Linked DNA regions of Arabidopsis thaliana. The protein of the gene in region 1 interacts with the protein of each later gene in a pairwise test. Each region holds a gene or a part of one and is shown on either strand. Other genes may lie near its edges.

Region 1 (7,246 bases):
TCTCAGAGACAAACTAACCTTCCATTGTCTAGCTTTCTCATGCTCAATAATGTCAGCAATCTCAGGATCAACCTCCTCTAAAGGTGCGTTAAGCTGTTTTGGCCACTGAAACGAACGTTTACAAAGACATAAGTTTCATTAGATTCAGTCACACCAAAAATAGAACTCCATACATCAATTTGAAACAGACATAGAACTTCAACAATCAAAACCATTGCTTCAACCACAAGGAAAACTATAAACAAACAAGAGATACAAAAAGGCGCTTAAACTCACAGTGACACGAGATCTTTCCTTCTCATCAACAGCTTCACTGGGCAAAGAAGACTGCAACGGAACAAACAGAAATCAGAAAAAAAAAAAAAAAAAATCGAAAATTTCCAATCCGATTATAAAATTCGGAGATAAAAGGAAGAAACTTTAGGGTTGTTACCATGTAACATGAAGTGGATCGAATAAGAGGACGAATGGGTTTGTCAATTGAAGAAGAAAGCCTTCGAAGAGCCATGGCCATCGCCATTTTTCGCTAAACCTCTCTCTATCTCTGGTTTGTGAAACCCTAGAAACAGATTTGAAACATGAACGAGAGAGAAGAGAGAACAAAAATAACAAAATTGGGTTTATCTTGTTTGAGAGAATTGTGGCCTCTGCTTTTGGCTGAGCTTTTGGTGGTTGCAGCAAATTTTCGAATTTTTTCCCTCTTTTTTTATTTATATTTTCTTCTGATTTTTATTTTATATTTGTTGTTTCTTTGTCGTTATCTCTCAGGTCCCTGTCTACACCAACCTTTGTGAATTGTGATGATTTGGTGACGACGATGATTTGTTTCCCTTTAAGACAGAACCTTTATTGGTTTCTGGTCAGTGCAGTCAACGATAACCGATTCAGTTATCACACATCAATTTAATTTATATAGTTTCCAAACCGGTTAGTTTGGGGGAATAAGATTAACAGAATTATGGTGAATTTACAAAATAAAACCAACAAAACAAAAAACTTAACAGAAAATGTTTATTTAACATTTTAGAATTACCAAGTGCATGGTTATATATATTAAACAAATTATTGATCTAAGAATATTGATATTTGAGAGAGTTTTGAGGATAATAATTCATATGATTTTTCTCTATTAATTGACGAATCTATGGTTATAAACAAGTACAATATTAATACTCAAGATGAGTATAACAACACCGGATTTTAATTATATATGCTTTAATTATATTTAGGATTGAAAATATGACTATGTTAGAAGAACCATGCTGCTTATCGTACGTGGCTTGGTGTATAGAGGTTTCCAGTTCAAGAACCTTATTCAAACCAAGGCCTTTGGAGTGTTCTTCAACATCATGGTATCTTCCAACTTCAATCTGTGAAAGTTTTTAACGAGTTACATAAAATATATAAAATGCCTAAATGGTGCATGCATGTTTGTGAAACATCAAGATCAATTAAAAAAGTTTACCTCTCTGTTATTCGTTTGCTCTTGGTGGAGTGTCATAATCGGAATGTTCAGGCTGGCTTAGTTGCAGCCGAATCTGAGTGTGTGATTCATCATCCGCAACAGCTACTTCACGGTGTGTAAACCCGTTTGTGTTTGCCATATAAGCCTGAAAGTCGAAGCCATATCACTTCGAAGCTCTTACTCCAAAGAAAATGGAGTTTTTGTAAAACATGATTTGTTACCTTCTTGTAGAGCTCCACATTTTCTTGATGAATCCGTTGTACTTTCCTAGATAAATCGAGGTTTTCCTGATGAATAAGATTCCTCTGCACCACGATCAACAAAAATCCCAAAATTAGAATTGTAACTTTTGGTAGGGGATATTTGTGTGTGTCAGTGTGTGTATATATATATCTCATCATAGTGACCTTTTGGCTTAGTTCTTGGATTTCTTGAGTCAACAGTTGTTCCTGTGAATCCGGAAAAGCAATCGTTCTATTGATTTCCGTTGTGTTCTATAGTCAATCTTTTGAGTAATACACTCCAAAGCATATAATAGAAGGTAGAGTATATGTATTTATGTACCTTTCTCATACGAATTCCACGCAAACTTATCTCAATTTGATTCTCAAGACTGTTTAGCTCGTTAACACTTAAACCATTTAGCTGTTCTCCCATCATTTGCCTGCTTCATAGCAAACATACCGCAATCCATAACTACAAGTTTCTTCATTTCCTTTACATGCCTTCTATATTTTGATCAAAGACTAATTCTTAATACAAAATGTTATAAAAGTTCAAGGCGATACCGATGATTTTCTTGCAAAGCATGCAGTTCTTGTCTTAGAACAGCAGCTTCTCTCTGCCAAAACTGTAACACACAACACAAATAACTCATCAAACTTTGAACAGCTCAGTAAACCAAAATCTCATTTCAAAAATCAAACATCATGCTAAAGCATCAATCAATATATAATCACATATCTTTAGAGTTGTCGCTATATCTATATGTATACCTTGACTTCTGATGCGGGGTTCAATAGTTGTTGTTGCTCGATCTTGCTCTTGTTGTATCTATCAATAACCGACTTCATGCTATTCAAAATATTTAATATTAGTATACCTTGTTCATGGTATATAATTCACTCATATCATATCATCTCTTAGAGTAAATTACGTAAAAGATATTAATTTTCGATCGTGAAGTTTTTCCAAGTACTCCATTAAAAAGCTTTCATACGTAAAGAAAAAACTCATAGCCTAGAAATTTGTGCAATATAGACTTTCCTGCATTGGCAACATTATTTACACACGCTTATATATGTACACATACATACATTTCACATAATGTATATAATCTTGAACTCAGCAGTAATACGAATTTGTTACACAAACTAGATAAACTATATATAAAGTAAGTAGATGTTAGTTTCTTTTTTCAATAAGTAACAAAAACAAATGCTTAAATGTTATTTCTAGGGTGTAGATAAGCAAGAACTTTAAAGGAATCCAGTTCTAAGCTATAAACAAAATGACATAAATGTAATGCATTAGCATGGCACACTTTATTTTAAATCCAAGCAAACAATAACATGGTGTTAGTTAGTTTTAAGAATGGTATATAAACTTGACTAAATATGCTAAGTAATTTCATTTACCAAGAGGTTCGTAAACCCTATGATACATGAGAAATGTTATCAAAAGACAAACGTGAAGAATTAATAATGCTTAAGGTTGATGCTAATATAAAATTCCTCAAGGAAAATAGGGAAAAACAAAAATTCGCATTACCATACTCTTTTATTTGGTTGTTTTAATTGATAAATATGAAATTATATAAATTTTCAAAATATATAATCAAAATATTATATGATTTAGAATTACATGTTTATATATGTTTTCTAATAATTAGTTTTTTATCTCTATATTTTTTTTATATTAATCAAACTTTTAACAAAGAATAACTTACTCAGAAAATAGACAATTATAACGATTTTGCAGATATAAAGTTAAATATACAGAGTAATCTGATCGTTTAGTAATAATATATATGATTATATATAAATATCAAAAACATGTTTATGTTTACGAGTATAAATAGATCATTTTGTTAGTGGGTTAAACTAAATCAGCTTCCAGTTTATTGGATTTGAGAAATTAAGTCCTCTACATACCAATCTTCTAACTCGTGGTCTCCAATTATAATTCTTTTTTAGCTTTCCAATAGTGATGTTTGGGCATTCACACTTGTTTTCTCATCTATTTCTGAAACATATCTAAATTTGGAAAATGCAAACAATGAGCCTTAGTTAGTTATAAGTCAATGTCCATACACATAAACATATGTTAGGAAAGTACTTCAAAACATACTGATGATGGGTACATATAATCACCCAAATATGAAGCAAAGAAACTACTTCAAATTATTTTTTCAGCTTCAAAAATATTACTCTTCTTTAAAACTTCTACCTCATTTTTAATCTTTCTTTGTTGTAAGAAAACTGTTTGTCGGCTATACAAGACACATCTTATTGTACATACGGGAAAATTAATGTAACATGTTCTACGGACCGCCAGATGCGAAAAAATTCCACTATATTTGAATAGATCCCACAGCTACATATATCTCAGTGAATATCACCAAGCCTTCTAATAAACAAAACCGTAGCATAAAATTATATGCATACAGTGGTACACAACATCTCCGTAGATGTACATCCACAAAATCAAGAAGATATAAAGATTTCAGAATGAATAATTTTAAAAGAAGAACCTGGAGCTTGCAAAGTCATAGAGCTTTCCGGTGCTAGAGAAGATGATGAGACCGACCTCGGCATCACAGAGAATAGCTAGCTCTTTGGCTTTCTTGATAAGGCCCTTTCTTCGTTTGGAGAAAGTGACTTGTCTACTCGTTGAATCATCGATCCTTTGGATCACAATCTTCCCTCTTCCCATCAATTTTATCCTCTAATTGAATCTCCTCTGGTTCTTCTCTTTTTTAGGGTTTTTTTTTTTGTAGATCTTACCAAGCCCAAAAGGGAAGGGAATATGAAGATGAACGAATAAGGAGAAAGAGAAAGGTAGAAATAGAGAGAGAGGAAGGTTGAGCCAAGAGTCAACAATCTATTCGAGGAATAAACTAAGTATATATATGCATATGCACACACACACATACACACTCACCTCTCAGTTTGAGACATTTTTGGGTAGATTTAATACATAGAAAAGTACTAAATTTCTAGTCCAAAATTAGTATTTGTGTGTATGATTTTATCAAACCAATGAAATAGAGAGAAGTTCTTATAAAGTTCCTAGGTTAAGAGAATATATAGATATAGCTTAAATGTGTGTCATATATACAACTTTAATCACTGATTCTTTTTTATAGTTTGTTTATTACGGGAGATAGTGGAAACTTAATGGAATTGTTTAGATAAAAAGGAGTGAAATAATATTAAACTTAGTGTGAGTTAGGTAAATTTCCATTATCAATAATATTTCCTTTTTAACATGTCCGTACATTATTTATAATTTATTCTTAAGTCTTATTTCAAATGTCATGTGAAAATAGTGAATGGGCGCATCACAGGACTGTGTTTCTCTGACAAAACCCTCTTGCTTTATATGCTGCTTTACTTAATTTAATTAGTATCTTTTAGAGGTGATTAAAAGAAAATTAAAAATATTCTGGCCCTTTATTATGGTCATAGGAAAACTTATACTATATTAATTAGATCTGTCCAAAAGATATTTACCCAAAAAAGTAAGAGAATGGATTGAACAAAAACATACAGTATTAATCTAGTACAACATATATTAGTCCATATGGCTTTCGGTAGAAATACAAATGAATAAATTATTTTTGTGTCAATTAATAAATGATTTTAAACGATATCAAGTACACGTGTCAGACAGGGACTTGGAGTTGCGGAGATTCATCATATTAATTGTTTTGTCGTAAGTTTCCAAATATGGCAAGAAATTTAATATCAAATAACTATATAACGTCTGTTACTTTCGATGGCTTAATGCTTGATTTCTACTCAAAGCAACTCGCGTTCAATATCATAATGAAATGAGCTATACAAAATTTTCACTTATATATAGAATATTTTCACTCAGAAGGCCATATATATATAAACCGTAACTTATATTTCAAGCTTATGCATATTGCAAATATACAATCTAAAATGTAATATGCATTTGTGACAGGCACACGTGGGAGAAGCAGGAACAGCTCCTGAGAACACCAATTGATGGAAGTCTTCGCACGCTCCACCGCAGAATCCGTACACCTGATCCTTCATTACTAACTATTTTTGTGTGTTTATTTTAGTTTCTTTGAATGTCTAAACTTTAACTTTGACCAACCCTCAAACTTGCCATAAATCACCACCCCTAGCGCGAATGTATCCATCAATTGAATTTGATTTAAAAGTAGCAAATGTCCTTTAAACCGAACTAAACCAAGCTCAAACCCTAATAACCAAGTTCGATTTTATACCGTTGATGTATAAGATTTAGGTGGGCCCCAGATAGATAACATGATAATTAAAGATCTATTAAGACCACGTGGGCTGGACTGCTTCGAACCAATCACATCTCGAATCTCAAACTCAAATTCAGATTTGGCTCTTTTTCTATTAACAAAGAATCTTAAAGTTGCTTCCAACTTCCAAGTGACCAAATCCCCAATTATCGTCCTCTTAAGATAAAAGATTCAGTCTCATTCACGCCAGGTGTCAATCATCAGCGAATCATTTCGATTTTACCAATTATAATCATTATTATCTTTAGTTCGACGGGTTTATACCACTCTTTCTTTTACGTTTCAAGCCTATTGTCTACGTTTTCCATATTTTTCAAGTCTAAAACATAAACAATCTAGAATTATCACAATCTTTGTTTATTTTGGTTCTTAAAACCCCTTTAACAATATTTGTTTTGTGTAATTGTGTGTGTTTATCTTTGCTGTGTATATATATAAGACCTATTTCTTAAGAAATGTTTTGTAATGACTAAACCAAATATCTAACACATGTATAGAATCTGTAATCCATAAGAGCTAGTTACCAAAGAGTAATAGGTTTCACAGATGACCTATTTCTTTACCAAATTAAATTGCTTACTATAGAGTTTAAATAATACACCCATACTACTGACTATCTGTTGTTCAAGTAGCAGATTTATATTACAGACACCTATTGTTATAAATATAGAATATAGTTTTTCAGGTGATTCTTGGAACTTTACACCAACAAAGCATGTTAAGTATATAATTAATGCTATATTTTAGATTTAACTTTTCATCATGCGTTTATGTCCAATTAGTTTAGTCAAGAACAGAGATTATATTCCCATTTGAATACCGTAATGTTTCATTATTCTTCATAATTAGTCTCCATTATTCTTCATAAGTAGTCGTCTACCATTTGACAAAAAAATATGTTAAGTGAAAATGTATAATAGATATTGGTTCTATAAAGTATAGTTTTTTTTTTTCTGGTTGGTGCTATAGAATTCACGTGAGAGGGTAATCAGAGTGGTAGTGTGAATGATAATAAACCTTGTTTAGATTATTGATCAGACCAAGAAAAGGAGATAAGGTGGTGTCCCTTTTGATGTTTTAAAACTTAAATCCCACATATTGGGTCCATAAAGTTTATAATTTAAACATGTTCTCAGATTTCCGAAGATAATAATAATTTTAGTATGTAACTGCAAAGGTCGAGTTTAAAAGATGGCCTTGGAACTTGAAGACTGGTGGAAATTGTACTAAATGTTCCAAAGTTGTGGCCATTA
Region 2 (4,700 bases), on another chromosome or scaffold:
ACCTAGGTTAAATACTTACTAATTAATTTTGATGCTAATCTAATTTTGTAGCAAGGGTAATGACTAATGAGCCTGGAAACAAACTTCAGCTTTACAATCACTGTGAGTTTGTGACTGCAGCAGAAGATTAAAAAAGAAAAGAAAAGAAGAAAAAAACTTCACTCAATGATTGAAAAAAAAAAAAAAAAAACTTCACTCAATATATATATATATATATATATATATATATATATTAATATTAGCAACTCTAAGCACCAACTTCACTCACGTTATCATATGCATCAGTTTTTTTTTCTAAGAATTTTGTCATGCATCAGTCTTTTTCTATTGTTTTTGTAAGTAAAAAAAAAATCGAAGAATCTTACCAAAACCTACGTAAAATACTAAATAGTAATTAATTTATCTCACAAAAAAAACTTAAAACTATCACTCAATAACTTAGGGAGATTTCTCTGTATATTGTTTTAACTTTTAAGTAATAATTTGTAGACAAATAAACATGTAAGCAAGTGCAAGTTGTACGGCAGCAATATATAAAACGAAAGTTGGTACTAAAGACGAAATTATTGGAAAAAAAAATAATAAATGTTATTGCGAACAGCCTAGATCTTGACCACCGATAAAACAAGAGAAGAAAGTTGATTTTTGGGTTTGAATAAAGTGGTTTCAATTTTCATTAGGCCAAAAAGTAAAAACTTAATAGGCTCAAGTTTGTAAAATAAACTTCTAATTTGTGATGATCACTCTTGTGATGTGTTATGTGTTAAACTCCAAACGTTTTTGAATGATTGTATGTGTTGACTTTTAACAGTGTATGCGTTGACTAAGTGATGTACAGTAATGAGACGGGGAAAATCATACTAATATTTCCTTCCGACAACTTTATCTGTACTATGCATAGTACTTTTGAGACAACTTTATCTGAATTTTGTATAGTATACTTTTGGGTTGTGATATATTTTCTCGTTTGATTTTTCTTTTCAACTAAATAATATGCAAACCAAATCCGCTTTCGCCATAAGAAAACAACTAAAAGGTTAAATTTACCCGAGAGTGTATTAATGTTGAATAGCCATATAGGCTATAGTATGTATATGGCTGAAAATAGCTTATGCGATTTCTTGAAGAGAGAGAAAAGGTTAAATCCGAGAGTGTTTTACTCATCAATGTCATTGTCATTCTACATATACAACGTAACAAAGAAAAGCGAGAAAAACTTAATCCGACGAGTCACCAAGGTCAAAACACCTAACACCCACTTATACACTCATTACGTGGAAACATAAAAGATATACTACCAATCATCCTGCTCCTGCACTAACAATCATCTCGATGATTATGAGAGTAGGGTAACGAGGGAAACGAATTCAAGGGTAACTCTTCCCTTTGATCTCGTGTTGATGACGAAATGCTCCGGGTATTTTCTCAGCAGCATCAGCAAACCGTACCATGGTTTACCTTTTGCTTCAGGGATAGCCCAGTCTTCTTGTGATAGGTATCTTCTTACTCGACTGTGATGCCATACGTTTCCATACTCCTTTAATATCTGTCACAGACCAACCACTACCATGCATTAGCTGCAAAAATTGTTGATCATCAGCTTCACGATCTGCCTTTGATCTTCCCTCTCTCTTCTTCTCTGCACAAATGAAGCAGATACAATGTCGTGGTGTCACTATCATTCAATCTAAGTCTAACAAGGTTCAATCATCAACCACCACAGTAAAACTTATACTCAAAGTCTAGAACAAGCCTGAAATCTATTTAGTGACACAATGAAGTTAAGCTATCATGAGCAATTTGGTTTTACCTCCAGAGGCATATACTCCTTCATGTCCATCTCTCCATGTTTTCTTTCCACTGCCTCTGATATCCTCCTCTTCATCGTCGTCTTCATCATCGTACTCATACAACTCTCTACTCCGGACGCCATTCTTACCCGACCCGGAACCTGGACCCGAATGATAATTATGGTACGGAACAACAGTAGCCTTCCCTAAGACGTGGTGCCTGGGTCCCAATGGACCGCCTAGGATACTCCAAACCGGAAGCAGGAAGTAGAACTCCTTGTCACCAATCTGCAAAAGGTCCTGTGAATCGAGCTTGACGTTGGGGTTCCCAGGGAGATGGAGGACACCTTCAACGAAGCAGCCATTTTTGCCAAGTACCTCGAGAGAGAAGCGTCGTCTAGTGAAGTCATAGAAGATCCGAGCGTGGTTGCGAGAAATGTTCATCCCACCGCCGAGAGATGAGAGGTCGACGTCGACGGTCGATTTCTTAGAATTCCGGCCGAGAATAATGGAGTAAGACTGCATATAGTACTCGAAATCCTCACCTTGGAGCTTCGCAAATCCAACCTCTACATCGCTCCCGCTTCCAACGGCTGTAGCCATGCCGTGAAATTTCTCCGATTTTGAAGTCGGAGATCAAATTTGGGGTTACATAGTAATAGAATGTGTTTGGAAACCGGTTTAGATATGTTGTGGTTAAACCGTACAATGAAAAATATAAAGGCTTCTCAAGTAAATGACTATTATACCCATCATGTTTTCAGCCTCTCCACTGTCAATGTTACGGGCCTTACGGCGATCAAATCAAAACGGGCAGTTTGTTTCCACGGCTAACAAAAGAAACAGCTTTAGTTGGGCCTTATCTAAAAAGCATCAGCCCATTAACGTGAACCGGATCTTATGTACATAAACCCAGTAGTATGTAATATTCGGGGATAAGCATGACATTGACATGAATATGGATCATGTGATAACCGTAAGGCTTGAAATTATGATGATAAAATATGATGAAAAGTTCATAAGAATATCGTCACATTTTTGTCAAAGAAATAGCAAAGTCAAGAATGGTTTTCTTTTTCTAGAATCTTTGCTTTACATTTTGTTAAACATTTAATCAACCGAAAAAATCACAACGAGAAAAGAACATTTGCTATATTCCACAGTGTATTCGCAGAATCTTCCTTTGTTTTTCTTGTCAACAATTCAAATAGTCTCAATCCTCTTTCCACTTTCCAGGTGCAATTCATGCAAGAGTAAGGCTGGAACTTGTGATAGCCAAGCTATAATAAAGCAACTTCAACAAGCTATTCCACTATTCGAATAAAGACACGAGTCATCTATCTACTCAACATAATTCTTTACAGCCATTTGTCATCTAGCACGTGCCCATGAAGCCAGCCAAACATGAACCACGTCGACACACATCAGATGAGAATAACCGTTACGGCGTCATTTGCTGACCTGGACTGTCTAACCTATTGCACTGTCTCTCGAAGATGGTCGCCACATGTCAATCCCGGGGTCGTGTTTATGCTCGAGATTCGCGGAGTCAGATACGAACACAAGAATTCAAAACACCCAACGTGTCCTCGTCAAAGCCAGCAGGATCTCAGTGTACACGTGTTAACTGTTTCCATGCACGTGTTACACGTGGCGTCTCGGTACTTTTCGTCAAAATTTTACTTGATTTTTACAACCAATGGAAATAGAAACCAACAAAATAAATGGAAAGCGTTTATCGATAATCCGAAATTGTAGCGCTAATAAAGTTTCTTAACCTTTCTCTTAGTGAATTTTGAAACCGCCCATGTCCACTATCCTTATCGGACATGTGTCATGTTCCGAAGCCTTTACCATTCTCTTTTTAATTATCTCCGCCCCTTATAATATTCCTTTCTCATACAACAAAGTTGGCGAAGCTTCAAAACCCTTCAAGAGGAAAATTTTGCGGAAGACAAGAGACCATCTTTTTGACATTATATGTTTGTTGAATCTTTATCAATGGCAGAAAAGTTTGTAGAAGATGAGAATGTGGAGGTCGAGCTCGAGCTCGAGCTATGTCTTTCCCTGGGAGGTCCTTTCAAGAAAACGGAGAAATCTAAAACATTTGGACAATCTAACGCCGTCGGATTCGAGAAGGATAACGGCGTTAATCTTGACGGCAGAACGACGAATGTGACGAGGATAAAGGAAACACGGAAGAAGCGGGAGGCGAAGCAGCAGCAGAGAAGCGGAGAAGAAGGAGAGTGCAAGAGGATCAGAACAGAATATAACGGAGTTAGTAACGGCGATGATATGGATTTGAGCTCTATCAACATGTGTAACGGTTACGGGTCGGGTCGACTCAAGGAAAGCAGTAAAGACGTTACGATTGGGTCACCCATTTGCACCTCCTCCTCCGTATCCGATCCTAGCAGCTCTTCTCGCCAAGAAGGTATATAACAACCTTCTTTTAAAAATAAACTAAAATTGGTTGGTATATGTATATAGTTTTTTTTTAGTATATAATTCGATGTGTTGATTCTGTTAAAGAATCACGAAAATTATGCTATTTGCATGTAGATGATTTTGAATTATGGTTAATGTTCAGGTGGAAGTGGCGACATTGGGGCACAATCTGGCCAAACCAAACAGGTTAGATCTCCGGTTAACAACATTCTGACCGGTACAGAGCAAACCGTGCATAACACAGACGGTTCAAAAGACGCGGAGACCCAAGAATGGTCCAACTCTTCTGTAACCAAAGAGAGTGGGAAGCCGCCAAAACCGCATACCAACAGTAACGGTAACGGCAGTTTGCTTCCGTTTGCTCAGATGCCTTGCGTGACTAGCACCGGTAACGGTCCCGAGGGCAAAACCGTAAATGGTTTTCTATACCGTTACTCAAAATCAGAGATCAGTATAATCTGC
Region 3 (6,018 bases), on another chromosome or scaffold:
GGAAGGATCGAGTCCGAGTCGAATGTCGCCGTCGCCGTCGCAGTCTATGTACGCCGATATCCCGAGAGGGAATAACAACAATGGTGGTGGTGGTGGTGGTAATAATCAGAATGCGAAAATGAGAGTGGCGAGGCTTGTGGATAGTTATCTCACCGAAGTTGCTAGAGATCGGAATTTGCCGTTGACAAAGTTTCAGGTTTTGGCTGAGGCGTTACCGGAATCTGCTAGGACTTGTGACGATGGACTATACAGAGCCATTGATTCATATCTCAAGGTATATATATATTGAAGGTCTTTTTGGTAAATTCGTAGAATAGTTTTCAACATTTTTTTGGCTTAATTTTGTTGTGATAGGCGCATCCGACATTATCGGAGCATGAGAGGAAACGGCTATGCCGAGTGATGGATTGTCAAAAACTATCAATGGACGCATGTATGCACGCGGCTCAGAACGAGAGGTTGCCATTGAGAGTGGTGGTTCAAGTTCTCTTCTCGGAGCAAGTCAAGATCAGCAATGCTTTAGCCAACACATCACTCAAGGAGTCAACCACTTTAGGAGAAGCCATGGGTACGTATCAGCCTATGATCCCAAATCGCAAGACATTGATCGAAGCAACACCACAATCGTTTCAGGCAAGTAAGAGAAAACACTCATCAAAATTCACACAAATTCCTTTTTTCTAATTCCTCTACTTTGAATGCAGGAAGGATGGGCTGCAGCCAAGAAGGATATTAACACGTTGAAGTTCGAGTTAGAGACGGTGAAGACCAAGTACGTCGAGCTTCAGAACGAGATGGAAGTGATGCAACGACAGTTTGAGAAGACGGGGAAAGTGAAGAACACGCCATCTTCTTCGGCTTGGACCAGCGGTTGGAAGAAGCTAAGTAAACTGACTAAGATGAGTGGACAGGAGAGCCATGACATATCCTCTGGAGGAGAACAAGCTGGTGTTGATCATCCACCCCCCAGGAAACCAAGACGATGGAGGAACTCAATTTCATGAAGTGATAGTGATGGTTTTGTATCTTCTTGATTTTGATTCTTTGAAAAGAAAAAGCTTTTGTTTGTTCCTAATTTGTAATGTTTATTGGTTTCTAATATGGAATAAGTGACATAAACGATTCGATTTTTATCACAAACCAAAAAACGCCATTTGTTTATTACAAAACCATTTAACAATACAACAATAGAGACACAACAATACCAGTAGCATGTGGGTTGAAGCAAAAGACAAAGGAATAGTTTGCATTATTACAGACACTCAAATTAATTACATGAACATGACATCAATATTTCATAAAAATCATGGACCCATCTAGTCATCATATGGACAAAAGAGTGTGTGTGGGTCAGAGATATTTTATTACCTTAGGGGAGATTCATAGATCACGCGAGCTTGAGATGAGACTTTGAATATTTGCCTTTTGATTTCACCATCCACACTCAGCCAAAAAAGATAATCATTGTCCATCAATGACCATGACGACTTTGGCTTTTCATTCCACACAGAGAGAAGAAGAAAGTGACCTCTTTTCTTCTTTAACTTTTTGAAATTTGCAGTAGCATATATAATACTTAAAAGTAGTCCACTATATACAGCTAAAAAGCTGGTGCAGAGGATACGTACCCAAAAACCCACTTCACACGTTTTAACTCGTCAGAATCTTTCACGCCTTATCTGTCTGCAGATTTCTTGTTCCCCATGTTGTCTCTTTAAGCAACAAGATTGGTGACTTGTGAGTGGTGGAGCTTTGGTTCTTAACCTCTGTGGAGATTAAGTCTCGTTTCAGCAACTTTAGGTAATCAATTGCTTCGTCCAGAAGTAAGAGCGCTTCGTTTCCTTTTGCACCAGGGACTACGCTCTCGAGTATTTTCAGAGCTGTGCGGATCTTGTCTTTCTTCGACTGCTCGTTGCTCAGACCAGAACCAGTGTCCTCTTTGGTCGATATGGTTTTTGATTCAGGGAGCTTTTTGTCCTTAAGAAAGGAAGATCCATTGAGTTGTGTGGAGCTCTCAGTGCCCACAAGTGATGATAAGTCGCTGATGTTGTTGACCTTATCCAGTAGTTTCTGCCTTTTACAAGGACCATCGATTTCTTCTAATTCCCTTTTGTTGCAAACTCCTTCATTTGGATAAGGAGAGTGACCAGTGCTCATTACTTCATCATCACTCTCGCAATCATCATCATAATCATCATCTGAATATAGCAATGCATTGATCTCCTCAGTGTCTTCATGCATTTCTGACTCTGTTCCATCACTCTTGTGAAACTCTTCACCATCTTCTTTGAAAGCTTTCTCTATACCTTGTAACTCAGAGAGTTTCACTGGTTCTGCAGCCGCATGAGATGGAAACCGTAGAGGAAATGGACATTGTAATAGACGAGTCTGGTCTCCTGACTGATCGAATATCAAAAGTCTTTTCTGAGAAGACTCTAATGCTCCAAGTGGAGTAGTAGTAGTAGTAGCAGCAGCGCACCAAGACCGCATGTCAGACCGTGAGAATCTTTTTCCATAAGACTCCTTATCATGACTGCACAGCAAAGACTGGAATGGTGGTGGCTGCAAACAGCGAGCCTGAAGCTTAGCTGCATATAGTTTCCCAAGCTCAGGGAGAGGAATTCTAGGAAGGACAGACCGACCTACTATATCCTTGAAGCAAGCTTGAGGACTTAAGCCCAGAGGCAAATCCCGTTGCCTCTTATCCAGAGGCATGCTCTTAGCAGTTTAGCTCAAGGGAACTTCAAAAAGTACAACACTGCAGGACAAAACAGAGGCAAAAATCAGCTCAAGAAAGATAAAGTCAGTAATATCACAAGCGTAATTAGAGGGAAAAGAGCATACCGATTGTTAAGTTGCTCAACTGAGTGAATGCAATACTTCTTGTGTCCTTTTCGAGAAAATAGTAAAAGAAAGACGAACGAAAAACAATCACAGATTGAAAAATGCAGCGAAATGTCACCAACCAACTACGTGACTGGTTTGAGTAGAAGTCTGAAGTACTCAGCCTGAAACACAAAGAATAATCACAAAACCACAGTGTTAGAAGACTAGAACTATATAAGCTAAAAGTATGATAACAAGAGCATTATTGTCTGGTACAAACCTGGCAATTATCCATCGGTTGATAGCATTCAATAACTCTCACTACAATTGTTGATTCGTTAGCGTTTCCGGTCTCGTACTTCAATCCTCGAAATCTTGTCTTACCAGGTGATTGGCACACCATAACTTTGAGGAAATCTTGATTGAAGAAAGTAGACAGATACCAAAACCAAAAGGAGGAAAGTTTTGTTTGTGGAAGGAGAGTGAGCTTTTAGTCTAGCTGATTCTTTGTTCACAATGGTACACATAGAAATGTTGTGATCCCATTTTCAAAAGTGTTTATAATATACCGAAAAAGAAGGGAAGATGAATAAGAAAGAAAAGGATTTGACTCTTGAAGGTGTTGCTTCAAAGGTGAAACAATCTACAGTATCACACGGCAATACAGATTCAAGCTCAAAACTTTACGGTATACGGCAATACACATGCTGTTTTCTCTTTCTCTTCCTCTTATACACACTCTAATTGATTCTGATCACTCAAACCTACTTTAGTATCTGTGCAAAAAGTCGAAGGAAGAATCTCATCAGCACCAAAAATGAGCTAAATCCAGAGATCAAAAACAGTAAAGGACATAGATTTATAAACGTCTAGCAAGTGGGTGTATTCACAGCATCAATTCCAGCAAAATTACGCTACATTTTACTATTACAACTCAGAATATACACAAATCACAATGTTCTAAGCTAGATTCAGACATAAATTACAGAACTTTACCATTTCACAAACGACTCAAACCGTTTTTAACCACAGTCTCCAGATACACAAACAGAGAGAACAGTGACACAGACTATAAGAGAGAAAAATTGGATTTTGATTACCTTAGAAAGGAATGATCTTTCGGTCAGATCCAGAGAAAACGATGAGACTTTTTTGTTTTTTTTTGAGCTGAATCAATGGAAAAGCAAAGGGATAAGAGAGATGAAAGTGACCAACGAACAATAATGTCTAAACGGAGAATTTTTTTTTACGAAATATTTCTAAAGAGGTGAGTGGCAACAAGAGTAACAAGGCTTTATAAAAAGATTTTATGACGCTTTTGCCCTTTTCATTACTTTATTTTACCAATTCACATTCTCAATTTTTTCGGTTTTTTGTTTGTTCTATATATCGAAATTAATTTTCATTCTATATTTTTTTAAAAGAAAAAAACTAAGATACGCAAAAGGTAACATAATTTAAGTTGTACAATTTGAATTTTTAATTATTTAGAGGAAAAATATGTGTAACTTGGAAATTAATCTAGTAATTAAAAACGGTGGCAATGTTTATATTTGTGCTTTGCTTGAAAGAAATGGGACAAGGGGGCCGAACGTGTATATACGTAATTATGGTATATATGATGACAAAGTCTCACGGTCCATAATTTCAGGTTATACTTTATCATTAAATAATATTTTTCTAACCAATATAATTTTTTAATATATACTTAATTCGTTAAAGTAAAAGTTCATACGTTTTCTCTTATTTATTTTAAAAGCTAAGTTAGTGAAAGTGTGGTCGAGCTTTATTATATCCTTAATTATTTTCTAAATAAATACTATTTCAGGTTATAATCCCTCTTTAATTTTATTGAAAGCTAAGTTAGTGAAAGTGTGCTCAAGCTTTTTTTCATCCTTAATTATATTTTAATAGTACATTTGTTCAGGTGCGGTGTTGTGTGTGTTTCAAACACCCATTGTGACGGAAAAGAATAAAAGCTAACCACTCTTTTTAATTGTTTAATTTAAATTGACAATTTAGCATCTATCTAGCTTATACAACGCCAAAATTAGCTCAATACTTTTGTTTTATTTTTAAAAATATTATGTAGACTTTCATTTATGTTAAAAGTTATTATTCATAAAAGGACTTATGTGATTGGGGAATGTGGGTGAAAAGAAAAAGAAAAGTAAAAAGAATGAAAATGAAAATGGAGAAAAGAAAAAGAAAAAAGAAGCATAAGTGATGATTAAAGAATTGCACGGGAATTTTAAGTGCTTAATTACCCGCACGACTTCTCTCGCGTCTCTCTCTTTTTTCTTCCTTTCTTTTGTTAACTTATGTATCTTGTCTGAAAAAGTTTTTAACTTTAGTCTTTTTTCTTCCTTTGATTTGATATTAAGAACAGTAATTTATACTGTGTTTTGAATTAGAAGTGGTCAATTCAAATTTCATTATGGTTGAGACCATTTGCTTTGGGTCTGATATGTCATTAAGATTGAAGTTTTAGTTTGATTCTTTTGTGCTTTTTATTGGCATTTTGATTGAATAAACAAAACCATTTTAATCAAAATAAAAAAACGGGAATAATATCATAATATAGTACAAACATTCCAACTGAAACACGAGACGGGTCTTTTCTTTTATTTAGATAAAAACGTTGTCCAAGAGTTTTAGAAGAGCAATGACATCACAAAGTTTTGTTGCATAAAGATCCCAGAAGCAATAAACATAAAGGGTTGTTTAATAATCTACCCACAGTTTAGGAGCTGGGGAGATCATTACTGCACGCTCAGTACTTCGATTTCAAAGTCGAGAACAGAGTTTGGCTGGATCCCCCATGCCGGAAATCCACCAGCGCCATATGCGTAATCCGATGAGCACTGCAGAAGCAGATAAGATCGCAAGCCAAAGATGTTAAACATATAACGAAACACCCAAACTATCATGAAAGACAAAAGTGCTTCAACAGAGAGCCATAAAAGCATAGATGGCAAAGAGGAACATGATGAGAGAAGCAGAGTATACATACCCGCAAGCGAGCAACCTCTCCAATTTGCATTCCGATAACGCCTTCATCCCATCCTGTAAGCAAAGTTAAACAATCGAATCATATGATGTTCACTCGCCAAAAAAGAGGCAAATAGGTTCAGAGATATGATATGATTAACCATAAAACAGAGTAAGTAAGTTTATACCTTTGATCACAGC

The links. Proteins that work in one complex are often made in the same cells at the same time.
Region 2: the proteins of AGL21 (region 1) and AT3G07260 interact in a two-hybrid assay, tested with the Arabidopsis thaliana proteins (one large-scale study listed by BioGRID).
Region 3: the proteins of AGL21 (region 1) and SAC51 interact in a two-hybrid assay, tested with the Arabidopsis thaliana proteins (one large-scale study listed by BioGRID).

Annotation. Positions count from the first base shown.
Region 1 is NC_003075.7:17,834,223-17,841,468, forward strand, and holds AGL21 (AGAMOUS-like 21), read right to left. Parts: upstream 4,748-7,246; 5' UTR 4,400-4,747; coding exon 4,218-4,399; intron 3,363-4,217; exon of another isoform or gene 2,540-3,362; coding exon 2,461-2,539; intron 2,316-2,460; coding exon 2,254-2,315; intron 2,130-2,253; coding exon 2,030-2,129; intron 1,940-2,029; coding exon of another isoform or gene 1,915-1,939; coding exon 1,873-1,914; intron 1,771-1,872; coding exon 1,687-1,770; intron 1,611-1,686; coding exon 1,473-1,610; 3' UTR 1,466-1,472; intron 1,371-1,465; 3' UTR 995-1,370; downstream 1-994. Other genes in the region: SHM1 (serine transhydroxymethyltransferase 1), read right to left, coding at 19-105, 277-327, 434-520. UniProt on the Arabidopsis thaliana protein: Probable transcription factor.
Region 2 is NC_003074.8:2,307,397-2,312,096, reverse strand, and holds AT3G07260 (SMAD/FHA domain-containing protein), read right to left. Parts: upstream 2,489-4,700; 5' UTR 2,394-2,488; coding exon 1,811-2,393; intron 1,640-1,810; coding exon 1,467-1,639; 3' UTR 1,114-1,466; downstream 1-1,113. Other genes in the region: AT3G07255 (nuclear transport factor 2/RNA recognition motif protein), read left to right, coding at 3,771-4,224, 4,381-4,700. UniProt on the Arabidopsis thaliana protein: May play a role in the control of plant organ development. Does not show transactivation activity in yeast.
Region 3 is NC_003076.8:25,729,222-25,735,239, forward strand, and holds SAC51 (transcription factor SAC51), read right to left. Parts: upstream 4,093-6,018; 5' UTR 3,927-4,092; intron 3,603-3,926; 5' UTR 3,107-3,602; intron 3,009-3,106; 5' UTR 2,845-3,008; intron 2,759-2,844; 5' UTR 2,716-2,758; coding exon 1,669-2,715; 3' UTR 1,114-1,668; downstream 1-1,113. Other genes in the region: Phototropic-responsive NPH3 family protein, read left to right, coding at 1-274, 355-633, 705-1,004; FKBP12 (FK506-binding protein 12), read right to left, coding at 5,589-5,690, 5,840-5,892, 6,006-6,018.